Drosophila melanogaster: one gene and its partner. The protein of the gene in region 1 interacts with the protein of each later gene in a pairwise test. Each region holds a gene or a part of one and is shown on either strand. Other genes may lie near its edges.

Region 1 (7,493 bases):
CAAGAAAAAGAATTTAAAATAATAATATCTAATAAATCTCACCCACCGCAAGGAGTCGGCGACGTTCTTGTGGGTAATCTGGTCCAACGAGGAATGAGAGGAAGACGAAGAGGATGAGTGTGGCGACTGCGATGGCGGTGGCAAGGGATGGTGTCCGTGATGGGCCTGCGGGCCGGCTGCAGCTCCTCCTGCAGCAGATGTAGTCGTAGCCGCCGGAGTCTGCTGATTGGCGGCGACGGCGGCAGCCACTGCCTGCGATTGCATCAGGCCTTGGATTTGAAGATTGGCGGCTGCAGCCGCAACGGCCATGGGATCAAAGTGCTTTGGATCCAGCTGGGCGAAAACTCGCTGCTTTTCCAGCGGACTGAGGTGGTTGCTAAGCTTCTCTAAATTTTGCTGGGCGAGGACACGGTTTTGCTGTTGGATGAGGGCAGCAGTCAATTGCTGCTGGTGCTTGGCTGCTGCTTGCTGTTGTTGTTGCTGCTGCTGCTGCTGTTGCTGTTGTTGCTGCTGTTGTTGTTGTTGATGATGAGCGGCGGCAGCACTGATCTGGGAGAGCTGCGTCTGGAGAGTGCTCTGCTGCTGCTTGGTCAGGTGCTGCAACTGCGGCGGCACCGGCACCTGGGGCACCTTCGCGCCCGTCGACTTGGACAGATCGATTTCCACGTTCGCCGAACTCGAGCTGCTTGCCACGCTGGAGGTGGATCCGGCTGCGGAGCCTCCTGGCCCAGATCCGGCTGCTCCCCCAGGCGGCAGATGCGCCAAGCGCTGCAGGAACTCGGGAGTGTTTACGCCCGGATACTGCTGCTCCATGAACGGCATGGGCGAAATTCCCATGTGGTTTTTATAGTAGCGACATGCGGGACTTGGGCAGGACTGCACCACCTCGATGATGAACTCTTTCTCCATGCCGAACTGATCCCGACCGATGGTGTACGACTCAATGACTGCCCTCACCGTGGCATCGACACTAAGGTGCAGGCCGTGCGGACCTGACATGTGCTTTAGCATGACCGCATTGGCAAAATGCTCAAAGGGCAAGACAATCTTTCCATTGTCGCGCAGTATTAGCCGTCCCTGGGAGTCCAGGGTTAAGCGGTTGGCCAGGACTCTGCAAACGAGGAAGTTATGAGAACGGATCTGAAAAAACCCACAACCCCTACTTACTGCAGATAGGCGGCGCTGGGCAGCATGGCATTGTCCTTGAGATCGCTGAAGCACTGCAGCAGCTCAGCACTGGGATTCCAGCCTTTGTTCTGCAGATACAGCTGCAGCAGCATGTACAGCTTTTCCGTAACATAGCCCACTCCTGGCATTCCAGCATTTGGCTGCGGCAGCATATCTCCGCCTGCCACGCCCCCGCCACCGGCACCACCACCGGGTCCTTTGGACAGAGCCGCCTTCATGGTCTCAGACAGATCCAATTTGTAGTTATCAGGATAGAAATGCTTGGAGTGCTCCTGCAAGGATCGCAGTGATTAGTTCACACAATCGGAAACAGAGACACCCAAGATCTGAGCTTGAAATCGAGCCCTGCTACCTCCACTGCCACCGCCGTCACCGCCCACTTACCAAATTGTTCATTTTCGTCTGGGACTGCGAATATCTAATCTGTGCGGCGCCAGTGCAGCATCCTGGATTCGAATGACCAACGGTTGCTGTCGGGAATCACTCGTCGGTCGGGGGACGAGACTGGGCTAACTGGCGGCCACGGATCGGGGGAAAAAAACTGTATGTGTCCGCCGCCTAATTGTGTTGTCCTTGCAAGGAAGAAGTGGGGGAGGCCATCAGTGTGACCGTCGCACGTCGCGGCCAAAAGCTCTAAAAACGACAGACAGCTTTATGCCCGACTTTCATATACATAAGCAAATAATTTAACATTTGTTGGCGTATAAACATAAACATAAACATTGTTAATGCGCTTAAAAATTTACTTAAGGCATATAGATATTTTTTTGCAACTGTTTAAGATTTGATTAGTACAGCCAATAGTCTTAGCTTTCGCAGAGCTCAAATTCTAATGCATCTAACTGCCAAATATTCTTTTTTAAGCTAATAAAAAAGTGTGCTTGAAATCTATTTGTTTTTTAAATACAAATATAATGATTAGTATGAGCTTATATTATATTATATCCTATAGCTACCACATTAAAAAAGTTATATTTTAGAAGTGAATTGAAAAAATAAATAATATAGGAAAATAATTGTAAAAGCGATTTAGCTTATTATACAATCTGAATTATTTATTTTTATTTTTTATTTATTATTATCTTACTAATTTAATTTTTGCAAAAACCATTCAAACCCATTTAAAAACGTAGAAGTGCAAAAGAATTGACTATACAAATGGTCTCTTTAGAGAGAATAATTAATTAAGTAACCCAACAAATAATTCCTTTACGTAGGATTTAATTTCTAAAATAGTCCTTGCTAATTTACATACCTACAAATTGTATGCAAAATCCTAAGAAAGTAACTAATAATGATGGCAATCACAATTTTGAGCACGCAAGTGCTGGAATATGAAAGGAAACCCAGCAGGTAAAAAGTCTCGAGGACTCATTACACTTAAGGTGGCCTCCTGGTCAAAGGACATTCGGCCGAGAGGGAGTAAGCACCTGAGCCAACCCTCCGGATAATGGCCATTTTGCATGCGTGCCCGGCGAAAATCGGGGGGTTGGGTAGCTATAGCAACACCACTCCCTCCACGAGTCCACTTGTTTACTTGCCTTCCTGGGCGACTTCCAAATTGCAGCTGCAATCGCTCCAGGGAATTCAGTACCCTTTCGAATATTGAAGAGCGAGCAGCGACTCCTAAAATCAGAACAGGATGAGGATGAGGATGAGGTGCTTCTCCCGGGCTATCAACTGGTGTTGTGCTCTTTTCTGGATCGCCTTACAAATTCCAGTGCCCATCTGCTCGCTGACCACCGCGGCCACAAATCCCTCGCAGCTGCCAACGCCGCACACTTTTCGCTTCCAGAATCCGACGCAGTGCCTCAAGAACGAGTTCTACAACCTCAACCTATTCGACTGTGTGCCCTGCAATGAGGTCGCCGGCGGAGATGGGGTTCAAGGAAAACTGCAACCCGACAGTGAGTGGTAGTATTGATCAAACAGAACCAAAAGGGGTGCCATGTGAAGGGGCAAGGACCTGCATGCTACTCAAGAGAAAGTATTCATTTTCAGCTGCAAAAGAGCTGTAATATTGTATATACCAAATTTAATATTCGGTTATTTAAACATTTTATTGGTTTAAGGTTTTGTCATTGAAAGCGACAAGGCTTTTTGCGATTAATATATTTTTTATAGGTCACAGACCTCGAATACTTAAGATTTATTCACATCAGTATTTGTCACTTAGCACAATTTGCAAACTTCACACAAATTTTATTTTGACGATCTCGAAGAGGAAATACTATAATCAAACAATTTTTAATATTAATATATTAATATATTTTTAATATTTCGAACTAATATAAATTAAACTATTGGTATTCTTAATAGATTTCCTCAACGATTTCCTGTTGTTTGATTTAATAAGTAAAGTATTTGTAATCAGTTATTTAAAATATGTATAAATAGTGCAGATAATAAGGACATTGTTGTGTAAGAAAACTAAAACTCGTTTTAGGGGTATTTATACAAAAAAAAAACAAGATAAACTTTTTAGTTTCGCTTTGAATTGAATTGAAAGTTGTATACTGTTTTTATATATATAATATCTTAAAATGATTGATAATTGTGACAAAATGAATAGATTAGTTTATATACATTTTCAATCCTTGATCATATGATAGATCTATGAATATAGGATATGCATTCGTATGGTTAGAAGAAAGTTTTACTATGTTACTGAAATAAAAGCTTCTTGTTTATTGCCCACCCAGAATTCACCTGCTTCTTGTTTATTGCCCACCCAGAATTCACCTGCAAGTGCCCGGCTGGTCATCTGTCCATCTATGAGCGCGGCAAGACGTGGCCCACCTGCGATGAGATTTGCACTCCGGACAGGAGCGACAATTGCACTTCGGTGTGGCTACCCCAGCCTCGACCTACCAATCAGTGCAGCTATCGGTATCTGAACTCCACGGCAGCCTTCGCCAGTCAGTTGCCAGTGCATCCACTCATTTCCGGCATCATACTGACCCATACAAATCCGATGAGCAGAGCGGGAGATTGCCATTCCTGCGATATGACGCACAATTTCCGGTATCAGGACTTCTGCTTGGCTAGCACCCTGCTCCGACCGTATGTGCACTACAACGCCTTCTGGCAGGCGACAACCACGCCGGATTCAAGTGCACCCAGCCGCTTTGGTGAGCTCAAGTTTGTGGCCTTCTTTTGCCTGACACTGCGCAACGATACCGCCTGCCAGCAACTGGCCAATCTGTGCGTGCTTTCCCATTTCTCCCTGGAAAAGCACTCGCCCTGCAGCGCCTTCCTGCTTACCCAGGTCTCTGATGTGGTCATGAAGTATGCCCACTCCGGCGAACAGGTGCGATCCCTGCAGCCGTTCCTGTTCTACAAGAAGGGTCGGGCTACCAAGGAGCTGCTTTCGAAGACGCTTCAGCTGCCGGATCGCAAGGAGCTGCGCCTTTTTAGCACCACATTTGGTCTAGATGGCGGACTCAAACGGTGGGGTGCCTTTCATCCGGAGATGCTGAACATGTGCCAACAGAAGGCGCCTAGCCTCCGAGTGGCTCTACCCAAGAGGGAGTCGGAGGTATCTTGTCAGCTGACCCTAGAGCGTCTCATTGACCTGGCCAACCAACGGCACAACGCCGAGTTTCTCACCGTGTTTCTAAACTTCAGTAGTAACTGGCAGTATTTGCTTCACCAGTTACCTGTACTCATCGAGACCCTGACGCCGGAAAACCAGGTGAGGAGTGTGATGTACTCAATTAGATAGAACTTAATCTCAGTTCCGTAATTTCTTCATCTGTCCAGCGACCCCAGCAGGAGGAGTGGCAGTTGGTGAAACGTTTCCAGCTGATCTCCGCCTCGCCGCGGGATAGTCATCTTCACCAGACCATGCCGCGCTACGAGGATGCCCACAAGCTGCAGCAATATTACTCCTTACGATATGTGGAGGACATCGAAATTCGTTATACGCTGGACAAGGATCAGCCGGATAGAGTGGGTCTGCCGCTCATTCGCCTGCGATACCGACACATAGAGATGGGATCGGGAAATATATCGCTCTCCCAACTGTACCCATTCACCCTGAGGATTAGCTACGACCAAGTAAAACGTGGTTGGGATTGGTTGATCTTGGAGGTGGCGCTGCCGCTGCTCCTTTTGCTGGCCTTTGCAGCTGCTGTCTTCCGTCTCCAGAATTTGAGAAGAAGGCGGAAGGCGGACCTCTGTCAGATGAGCAGTCTTATGGAATTTCTCCTGCAGCTGGCCGGAAATGTGGCATATGCTCTGCTGGCGACTACTCTGCTGCTCCTACTGCTGCAAGCCTCCAATTCTCGCCTACTGAAAATCCTACTCAATACCGCCTTTGTGCTGCAGTTCCTCTTTCTGGGCATCCACCTGTGGCGCTCCAGCCAGCTGGAACTGTTTCTCATCGACTGGGAAAGACCGCGGAGCAGCTGCGAAGGACAACGCCTGAATCTGGACAGCTCATCTCTCTGCTCTAGCGTGCGCACCTTTGTGGCCGAGAGCAGCGTCTCCGCCTGGCGAGTTCTCTTCACGGCCAATGCCTGGATTCGCCTAAGTGTCACCCAGAAGTACTCCACCTTGGGTCAGGTATTTGTGGTCATCGCTGGCTATCAGTTTCTGGAGAGGTTTACCAAGGGTGACATTTTTCTACGTTGCTGCCTTATAGCGGCAGCTTATCTGCTCACATATCTACTTCAGATAATAGGCCACCAACTGTTTATAGCCAATCCCCTCCAGAAGTTCATCGACCTGTGCAGTCTGGCCAACATCTCTCTGTTCTCACTGACGGAGCCAGGATTTGGTTACTACATCCACGGACGATCTCCGCACGGCTTTGCCGATACGGATATGTCCTCGATGATTTTGCAGCTGCAGAGAACCCAGACCATGTGTGGGCGACGAGGATTGCTAATGGACTCGGACAAGCAGGCGTACGTCATCCTGCCTCCCAGAAACCTTCAGTAAGATTTTGACTTTACTCCAATGAGGATATTGATTATCATAGTGTTTTTACTATAGCATCTACCTGGAGCGACTCCTGCTTCCCTTTCAGCGCAGTCTGACCGGCACCCTTTCGCAGACCATGCTCTACCAAAAGGACATCGTTCCGAGCATCGATGGACAGATGGAACGTACCTCCATTGCGTACGCCAGCGTCAATCGCTTCTTCTGCGCCTTTATCGACCATGTAAGCTTAAAGTCTACCTTAATTGATCCATTGAAGTATGTAACCAGTTAATATGGCCTAGTCGATCAAGCCGAATCCGTCAGTTTGCCCGTATAAGATCTGAGATCTGAGGATCTAAAAAATCGAAAGACTAAGCTTACAGATTCTAGCATTATTAAGAGCTACAGTCTAGAATACCTAGTAACTAATAAATCTCAACTCTTTTTGCTGTTTGTAAGCTCAGTTTTATTCTAAGATGGAATGTTCTCTTTTTATATTTGTGACAGGCTATCAAGGACATGGATTACATTATTAAGGAAAAGTCGTTTGTGGAACAATTGCTGAACTGCGAAATAGACAACTACATCACGGAAAGTGAGTACCCAATTCGAAGTTTCTCTTTTATGTATTAAATCCATTTAAATTTTCAGACAGAGGTACCTTTTACATAGACGACTCGTTCAGCTTCTCTCGCGTTCTCCTCTTGGGTAACCATTTGCACATCTTTGTCCTGGAACTCCTCTTGGTGCTGTCGATCTTCTTGATGACCTCTAATTTGTTAATTGCAGCTGCTGGCGCTTGTGCCCTAAACATAGTAGGATAATGATTCAAAACTGATTAACAAAATAATTAAAAAATAATCCATTTCAGTTACTACGCCAAGTGTTCCGCCATTGGGTGCGAAGGAACATCTCCCGCAAGACCCTCATCGACGAGAGGTTCCTCTTGTAGCCTCAAAACGAGGAGCAATATCTGCGAGAGGATGGATTCTTTGCCATATAAATGATATGCGAGCCCTTACAGGAAGTTTTTTTTTATTATTTCATAATCCACTCGATAGTAAGTAGTACATTCATATACAGTGGTTAATCTTTAGTTATCGTAAAACTTACGGCTAAAACAGATAAAATAATTTCCATAGTTTCACATTTATCATACAAACATTAGCAGATGCCCCGCATGATCTACTTGGCTTTTCTCGTGTTTTGCAATAGGATAGCTAGCACACATCAACGTCCGCTAATCGAGCACGTCGTACAAACATTTATGCATGGCTATATAATTTCATTAATATTTTTGCGCCCCTATATATTCCCTATTGTGGCGTCATTAGGAGTAGCAGACGTTTTACCGCCTGGTTGCAATATATTCTTGTAGT
Region 2 (7,493 bases), on another chromosome or scaffold:
GTGGGCATCTGGAAAGTGCGAATATAATACAACTTAACTAACTTCTTATCCTTTGCAGACCTTGTGCGTCGTTCCAGACACAATCTCGAGAAGGGCCTCATCGACTTTCGACTGCGCTGGGAGGTGTTTTCCCAGCAGACAGTCAATGGCGGGGCAGGAGCACTATTATCCTTTATTGCCGGAAGATTTGCTCATTCGGCTGTGCGGCAAGACAACTCCATGTACGTATTCGGCGGTGGATCCTCGTCGGACACCACCTTCAACGATCTGTGGCGCTTTGATTTGACGCACATGCGGTGGGCGCGGCCAGTGGCCACAGGAACCTATCCCTCGCCCAAGGGCAGTGCATCAATGGTGGCGTGGCGGAACCAGCTGATACTCTTTGGCGGATGGCGATACCCCTCGCTACATCCGCCCTACCAACCATGGTGCTTATTTGACGAGCTGCACTACTACGATCTTGGAAAGAACCGTTGGCTGCTGCGAAGCTCCCTATCTTCCCCACCACCGATGGCTGGACACTCGGCCACGGTACATGGCGATCGGATGGTAGTTTTTGGTGGTTACCAGATCAAAGACGATTTCAATGTGAACTCGAACGACACATGGGTACTGGATCTGCCGGAGCAGCGCTGGTGGCAGCCGCTCTTTGTGGGCAACACGCGACCCAGTCCGCGATACGGACAAATACAGGTGGAGTTGGGAAGGAACCATCTGCTGATCGTGGGAGGATGTGGCGGTGCCAATCGCGTGTACACTGATGCCTGGCTGCTGGACATGACCAGGGATGTATGGAGCTGGAAGTCTATTGCTGTGCGCAACAAGCGCTTTGGAGCCGTCCACATGTGGTGCAATCCCGGTTGCAAGGTCAACAACTACCTGGTGGTCGTGGGCCCATCGCCCAACATGCCGCAGGACTTCCAAATGATGAAGCAAAGCAGAGTCCCCGTCGTTGGAGGCCGTGGACCTCCGCCGCCGAATCCTCTTCAAAATGTACCTCCAAGGGGATACCGGATACCAGTTCCGGATCGTCGACTAGGTGGAGGTGGATTGGGTGGACCTGGCCAAAATCGCGGAGGAAACATCCGTCCTGGAGTGGGAGGTGCAGCAGCTGCACTGGGTCCTCAAGAACAGTATTTGGCTAACCGGAGAGCAATTCTTAATCAACACATGCAGCAAGCGCAGCAATTCCTGCACAACAGCAATGTGAACAATAATAACAATAATTACCAACCGCGCTCGGGAAGATTGAGTGATCTGCATGCCCCGCCAGCTGCGGCTGCAGCTGCTTCTCCTCCATCCCCGCCAGTGCGACCAAATGCTCCGCCATCTCCCGCCGACGGCGATGTGGATGCCGCACAGCGTTTGCAAAGAAATTTAGCTCTAAGGTGTCGTGATAATGAACCTAGGCTACCAAAACGTTTCGATGAGCTCTATGAGGTGAGTGATTTTAAGTGCGCCTATCATGGACCTCTTATTTATTTCCTGTTTCAAAAGGATCCCTTTCGAATGGCCGCCTTCAATGTGCCCACACGATCGCGGAGTGCTTCGCGGGATCACAACGAGCGAATACGACGCATGGAGGAGAAGATGAACGCCATTCGCAATTCGCGACGCAGCGCACCGGCGGCCGCCCAAGTGGAACCACAACCGCTGCGCGCACCCTCGCCCAAACGATTGCGCTGCAATGTGCAATCCCTGTTCGTGTGTGACATCTCCGGCATTTTGGACAGCAGCGAACCCGCCCTCGAGTGGGTGGAATACAAAAACTTCGGAGTGCTTAAGGGTGCTCCGGATCGGCTAATCCTCTCGAGCCTCATTGCTGGCAACGGCGAGCTCATCCTCTTCGGGGGCGTGCACAAGGAGACACTAACGGACATCACACATCATGTGTCCAATTCCATACACTTCCTGAGTGTGCCACGTGATATTATCTAAGCTCTGAACCGACGCCCGTCCTAGTCCAACGTTACGCGGATAGCACTTTGTTGCTGGTAACCCCACTTCCCAAATCCTTCAAAGTTCGGCGTAAGAGGTTCATTTAGGCATTAAATTGAGTGTAATGAAGAATATGTTTTATGATTATAAACGATTATTTACTAGTGGATCTCCAACGATTGGCTTTAATTATTGCTTTCCAGCACTTTTATTAGGTCGTAAGCATGTTGGAAACGCATATCACAGAAGTCATCTTGGCATGCTACACACTGCTCCAGGAGCAGCTGCAGCTTTTCGTTGTCCAAATTCTTAAGCAAGTAATCCCTTAGCAAAAGGCACGCCTGGTAGATATTGGCATCCAGCTGATGGCCGGAGCAGAATGCAGAGACATCAAATGTGAATCCCTCGCCGGTCAGCGGCTCGTACTTTTCGGCATGTCCTGCTGCGAACGAAGCGTCCACCAGGACCACGGAGTCCAAATCAATGAGGTACACCTTCTTGGTGTCTTCGTCGTAAGCCAAATTATCGGCCGTGAAATCGGTTAAGATAATGCGAAAGTCCGCGAATCCAAAAGTCAGCTTGAGGGAGAGCTGGATCAACTGGAGAGCCAGCTCCACACGCAAACCTTCTTCAGCATCGACGTAATGAGCTAAAGTACGTCCTGCATTGGATTGAAAATGTGTTAGTCCGCAGGAGGCGTAGGTGGTAGGCACTGGAAATCCCTGCAGATGCAGTTCCTGCATAAGCAGCGGACTAACGTAGTACATCATGTAGAACCACACACTGGCGGCAGCATGTCCACGCTGCTCCAAGTACGAAACAAAGCGGGGTTCCCTTGCCAGAGTTCGGCAGAGATGAAAACCACCAGGTCGCTCCTCTAGTTCATAGAAATCTTTTTTCACATTTTTTATCTGATTACTCTGTGCATCAATGATTTTTCTTTTGGCCACCAGCTGGACTTCCTGATCCCGGTCTTTTAGCCTTAGAAAGTAAATCGCTCGGCGATCAACGAGCAACGAAATGGCTTTCACAAGTCTACTCCAATCCGAGGGCTCTGCAATTTTCTGGAAGATTTCCCCGCACGGCTCACTCTGTCCAACGAAACAGTCTGGACACAAGCGCAGATCCTTCTCGAAAAGTTCCTGGAACACCTCTCGCTGCGGCTTCACCTGCAGCTCCTGCAGCAGGGCCAAAATGAGCACCACTTTCAGTTGGCCGTGTGACAGGTGCATCACAGGGAGCTGCAAAGAGACGGAAGAGAAACGAATGAAGGGGCTTGCCAAACAACAGAAGAAGCCACACGTGTGTGTATCCAAAGAAATGTGCGTGAGGGCCCAGCCTCCAGTCCACTGGCCACATTACCTGTTTGGCAGCTACACGCCAAAAGTGAACCTAAGCACCGAGCCAAAGAGGCAGCTGGTTATGACCGCTTAACGAAGCGTCTATACCCTTTCGCTACATTTAGTTTAATTTGCTATTAAGCTGTATGTATTTTAAGTATGGAATTTCCCTTTTTACTAGTTCCTAAAAGCAATACCAAATGCTTCCATTTATTCTATTATATTTTTTAAGCACGTCTAAGTTATAGATCTTTAATTTAGTCATGATGACAGCTGATTAGATTATGATACCACTATCGCTTTTATCACACCAGCTTCTGGGCTCATGCCGAAATGGTTATCCCACAAGGTCCGAAGAGTATGGCGTCGGGGGGACGGACTTACAGAAATAACTTTGGTTCTGAAGAAGAGCCAATTCAATGGGTTCAAGGTTGGCCATCACGCTGGGAGCAAGAAGCGAATCAGACGCTTAATTTGTAATCTCTGCAGAGGTGGGAGAGTAGCCATTATGGCGATACCAGTCGCATCCTCCAAGACGCACTCCATCTCGCCTTGCCCTGTACTTCAAAATTAAGTGTGCCCAGAATGGACTTGCTCTGTGGCTCATTCTTTGGCGACGACGAGGAGCATAATGACTCGGCTAAAGATTCAGCACCATTGCCCACGACTTCGCCAGTGCCTCAGACTATCAAAAGAAAATCGCGTGTAAGATTTAGCCGCAGCACCATACGAAAACTCCAACTCAACGAACTGGAACAGTTGGGCTCCACAAACGCCTTTTTCAACTTCCTGCTCGCCCAGCGAATTCGGGAATTGGGCTTGGTCGGTCTCAACTACCTGGATGTGTTCAAGTCCCAGCGACTAATTTCGGGGAAACGCATCTGGAACTGCATGTATGAGTTGGCTGAAAGTGTTCGTCAGAACGATATTTAAACCTTTCGGGATAAGAGGAAACTCGATGAAATCGTCTACCAAATGTATTCGTGCGAAAAAAGACCGAAGATCGCTGAGAACGCACTGAGAGATTGGGAGACGCAGCAGAGGAGGAGAGACCTGAAATCGAAATCGCTTGGAGAACGTTTCCCCAAACCGAGTAAGATCAGTTGAAGGTGGCGCGTTGCGCTCGACGGTTGTCGCTATTCTGGTTCTCGCTCAAGTTATCCGAACTCTTGGAACAGCTGGGTAGTCTGGTCTGGCCTGGCGCATAAAGACGCGATATCGGTCAAGTTCAGACGAAGAAGACGACGACGCGGCGATCACTCAATTAGCCTCACCGTGAGGGCGCGTGAAATTCACTTTTAAATTTCCCCCAACTCGATTTTCACATACACAAATTGCTTTTGTTACGATTCTCGCGTGTGCTTGGTTGAAAAGGAATTTGTCACAGTGCCAAAAGGTGTGTGTGTTCTTCTTGGAAATGTCCACTTAGCTCGTAAACTATTCCAATGTTCTAAAAAGCCATAAATTAGCCCTAAGGTCGCACGTGAAACCTTCACCACCTGGGCTAGCCTAACTTTACGCAACTGAGAACAGAGCAGATCGCGATTTGAGGCGAGTCAACAAAGTGCGCAGCAGAAGTCCAGAATATTGATTGACTTTGCAATCAAATTTGCTCAGTTCGAAATTTTCAGAGTCAGGGAATTAGCACTCAGCTTATTTTCGGGCCACATATTGTTTGAAAGCAGCCCATATCCAAGTTCTACATGTGTGTATATATTATTGAGAGTTATTTTGCTTGTCAGTTAGCAGTAATTGGAGGAGGGCACATAAACCACCGTGCTAGCTACCCATAAATTACACATTAGATAACGCCGACATGTGCTCATCGCTGATTTCGAGGGCCCCCATATAAGTCGCGTTAGCCTGAGCCCCACTTGTCCAACTGAGATCTGTACAAACACTTTAAACCGGTTATATACATATAGTACCCGCTGGGAAAACAAATAGCAAACCCAAGCCGGCAATATATGAATAACCAAGCAACTAACCAACCAACCAGCTGGCTGGTAAACAGTCGCGTCGTAGTATTATTTTGGCTTATTGATAAACAAAAGCCTGTCAAGTGTGCGATCGCATATATATATATATATATACAAATGTGTTTATATATTTGCATTCTTGGCCATGACCAAGGAAATCTGATGCATGTCGCGTAAGTGATAATATACAAATCGAATTACGTCACGTTGACTGCAGGCACTCAAACCTCCTTGACTACATATTATTTTTCAAGGGGATTGCGTTATCGGACATTTAAACTTTTCGCTTTGTGGCACACGCCCTTTTAATTAATAGCCATAAAATAGCAAGCGAAATTGGAAGCGTGAAATTTGATTTTTTCTTAAGTGTTACGACTCTTTCAGTTATTTTTAGCTCGAACTAAAAAGAGTTACTAACTGAATAAACATTAAGAATTACCAAGAACGTATTAAACACAGCAAAGACCTGTTTTGGCCAAACATCTATTTTTTCATTTCAACCGAAATCACTAGTTTGCGCACTAACAAAACTTTAGCTATTTCTTTTGATTTTACATCTCGTATCGCTTTCTATTCGCCCGCGCCTGAATAGTTTCTATTATACTTCGAATGATTGATGGCCGCCTATGACACGGGCAAATTGGAAACAGGTTTTCGAATGGCTCATTAATATCTACCACCTTTCTCTGCCCCTTTCGCAGATGAGCATCTCGGCGGTGGATCGCAAAGAGCCGGGCAGTGTGAGCAGCGGTCTGGGTAGGCGATACGGGCAGCTGCTCCGTGGAGCCAAGTACACAGATTGCGTGTTCCACGTGTGCGAGGAGCAAGTGAAATGCCACAAGCTCATCCTGAGCTCCGCCAGTCCCGTTTTCGAGGCAATGTTCTTTGGTCCCATGCAAAACAACGAGCCCGAGCCGGAAATCGAAATCCACGACATAAGCTCTGCCATCTTCAAGGTGCTGGTGGAGTACATCTACACGGGCGTCGTTGACTACAATGGCCTGGAGCTGGTGGCCTGCATTGAGCTGTACTACGCCGCTGAGAAGTATCTGCTGGAGGAGCTGATCGCCGACACGCTGATGGTTATCACCCGCAAGCTGCGATTTGCCAATATCTTGCCCGCTCTAGAGCTAAGTGTTTGCATGGGCCTCGACGGGTTGCTGGAGGTCTGCATGACCTTTTTCATGCGATGCTGTGTTAATAATGGACAGTATATGAGCCACCTTAAGGAGCACTATGTGCACGTGTCCAAGGAGTGTGTGAAGGCCATAATAGCGGCGTGCAAGGAACCGCACAAGTTACTCATCTGGTATGTTTATGAGTGGACACGACAGGAGTGCGAGCAGTTGGGTCTGGGTCCCAGCGATGCCGACTTAGTAGTGCACGACTTGGGTGGCAAAACAAGCGACTGGCCTGCGGCTTCGGGTGCTAGTGATTTGGAATCACCTGCCCTAACTCCGGTGGTTTTGGTGGAGCGCTGCTATTACAAGGCCTGCAGGCCCTTTACAGTGGATGCAGAAACTCCGCTGTTTCGCTTGCGTCTAAAGTGCTCTAGATTTATCTCCTTGATGGGCTTGGTCCTGAACAGCAGGCTGACTCCCAACCTATTGGGTCACGTCCAGCAGCTGGAGTACCGCGAATCGCTGCGGCTGGACCTTTGCGAGGTGCCCGCTGAAAGCGAGGGTCCGGCCACGTCGCCCGTATGGAGTCACGTTGTCCAGAGCCAGAATACCAAGTACAACTGCAACCTGCATCTTGGCTGGCGACGCGAAGAGGCCTGTGTGCTGAATCCGGAGCTGACCTATGAGCTGCAGATCCGCTGGGACAGCAGTGCTTACGGCGCCGAGTATCCGTGCAGCCTGCAGTCCTGCCAGGCGGACGGAATTCGGTTCACTGACGAGGACAGCTTCAGCGGAAGTCTCGTCAAGGGACTGCGCTATGCCAACCTGGTGTAGCCACTTCAGCCGCGATATCATAATTAGTTAGTCCGTAAGACGTGTATGTATTTATTGCCCTAAGTTAATGTACGCTGCCTCAGAGTTCAATAAACTGTGAGTAATATCGCTTCAAACACAAGACGTCTGCTGATAAATATAAAAAGCCGGTTTGCAGCCGTTTTTGTTTGGCGAACGAATCGAACTCGATCGGGGAACGGCGTCCTGGCTGCGAATACGGAAACTTATCTCACCTGTTGTTGCGGCCACTAAAAAAAAAAAATCGGTAAAACAATAAACTA

What was found.
Region 2: the proteins of CG5466 (region 1) and CG11275 interact in a two-hybrid assay, tested with the Drosophila melanogaster proteins (2 studies listed by BioGRID).

The regions. Positions count from the first base shown.
Region 1 is NT_033777.3:20,612,182-20,619,674, reverse strand, and holds the start of CG5466 (uncharacterized protein), read right to left. Parts: upstream 1,793-7,493; 5' UTR 1,585-1,792; coding exon 1,573-1,584; intron 1,461-1,572; coding exon 1,168-1,460; intron 1,112-1,167; coding exon 47-1,111; intron 1-46. Other genes in the region: CG15923 (uncharacterized protein), read left to right, coding at 2,831-3,095, 3,924-4,882, 4,951-6,128, 6,187-6,355, 6,622-6,709, 6,766-6,929, 6,986-7,066.
Region 2 is NT_033778.4:22,175,318-22,182,810, forward strand, and holds CG11275 (uncharacterized protein), read left to right. Parts: upstream 1-4,377; 5' UTR 4,378-4,674; intron 4,675-5,958; coding exon 5,959-7,212; 3' UTR 7,213-7,325; downstream 7,326-7,493. Other genes in the region: Fbxo42 (F-box protein 42), read left to right, coding at 59-1,440, 1,498-1,938; CG11170 (uncharacterized protein), read right to left, coding at 2,124-3,170.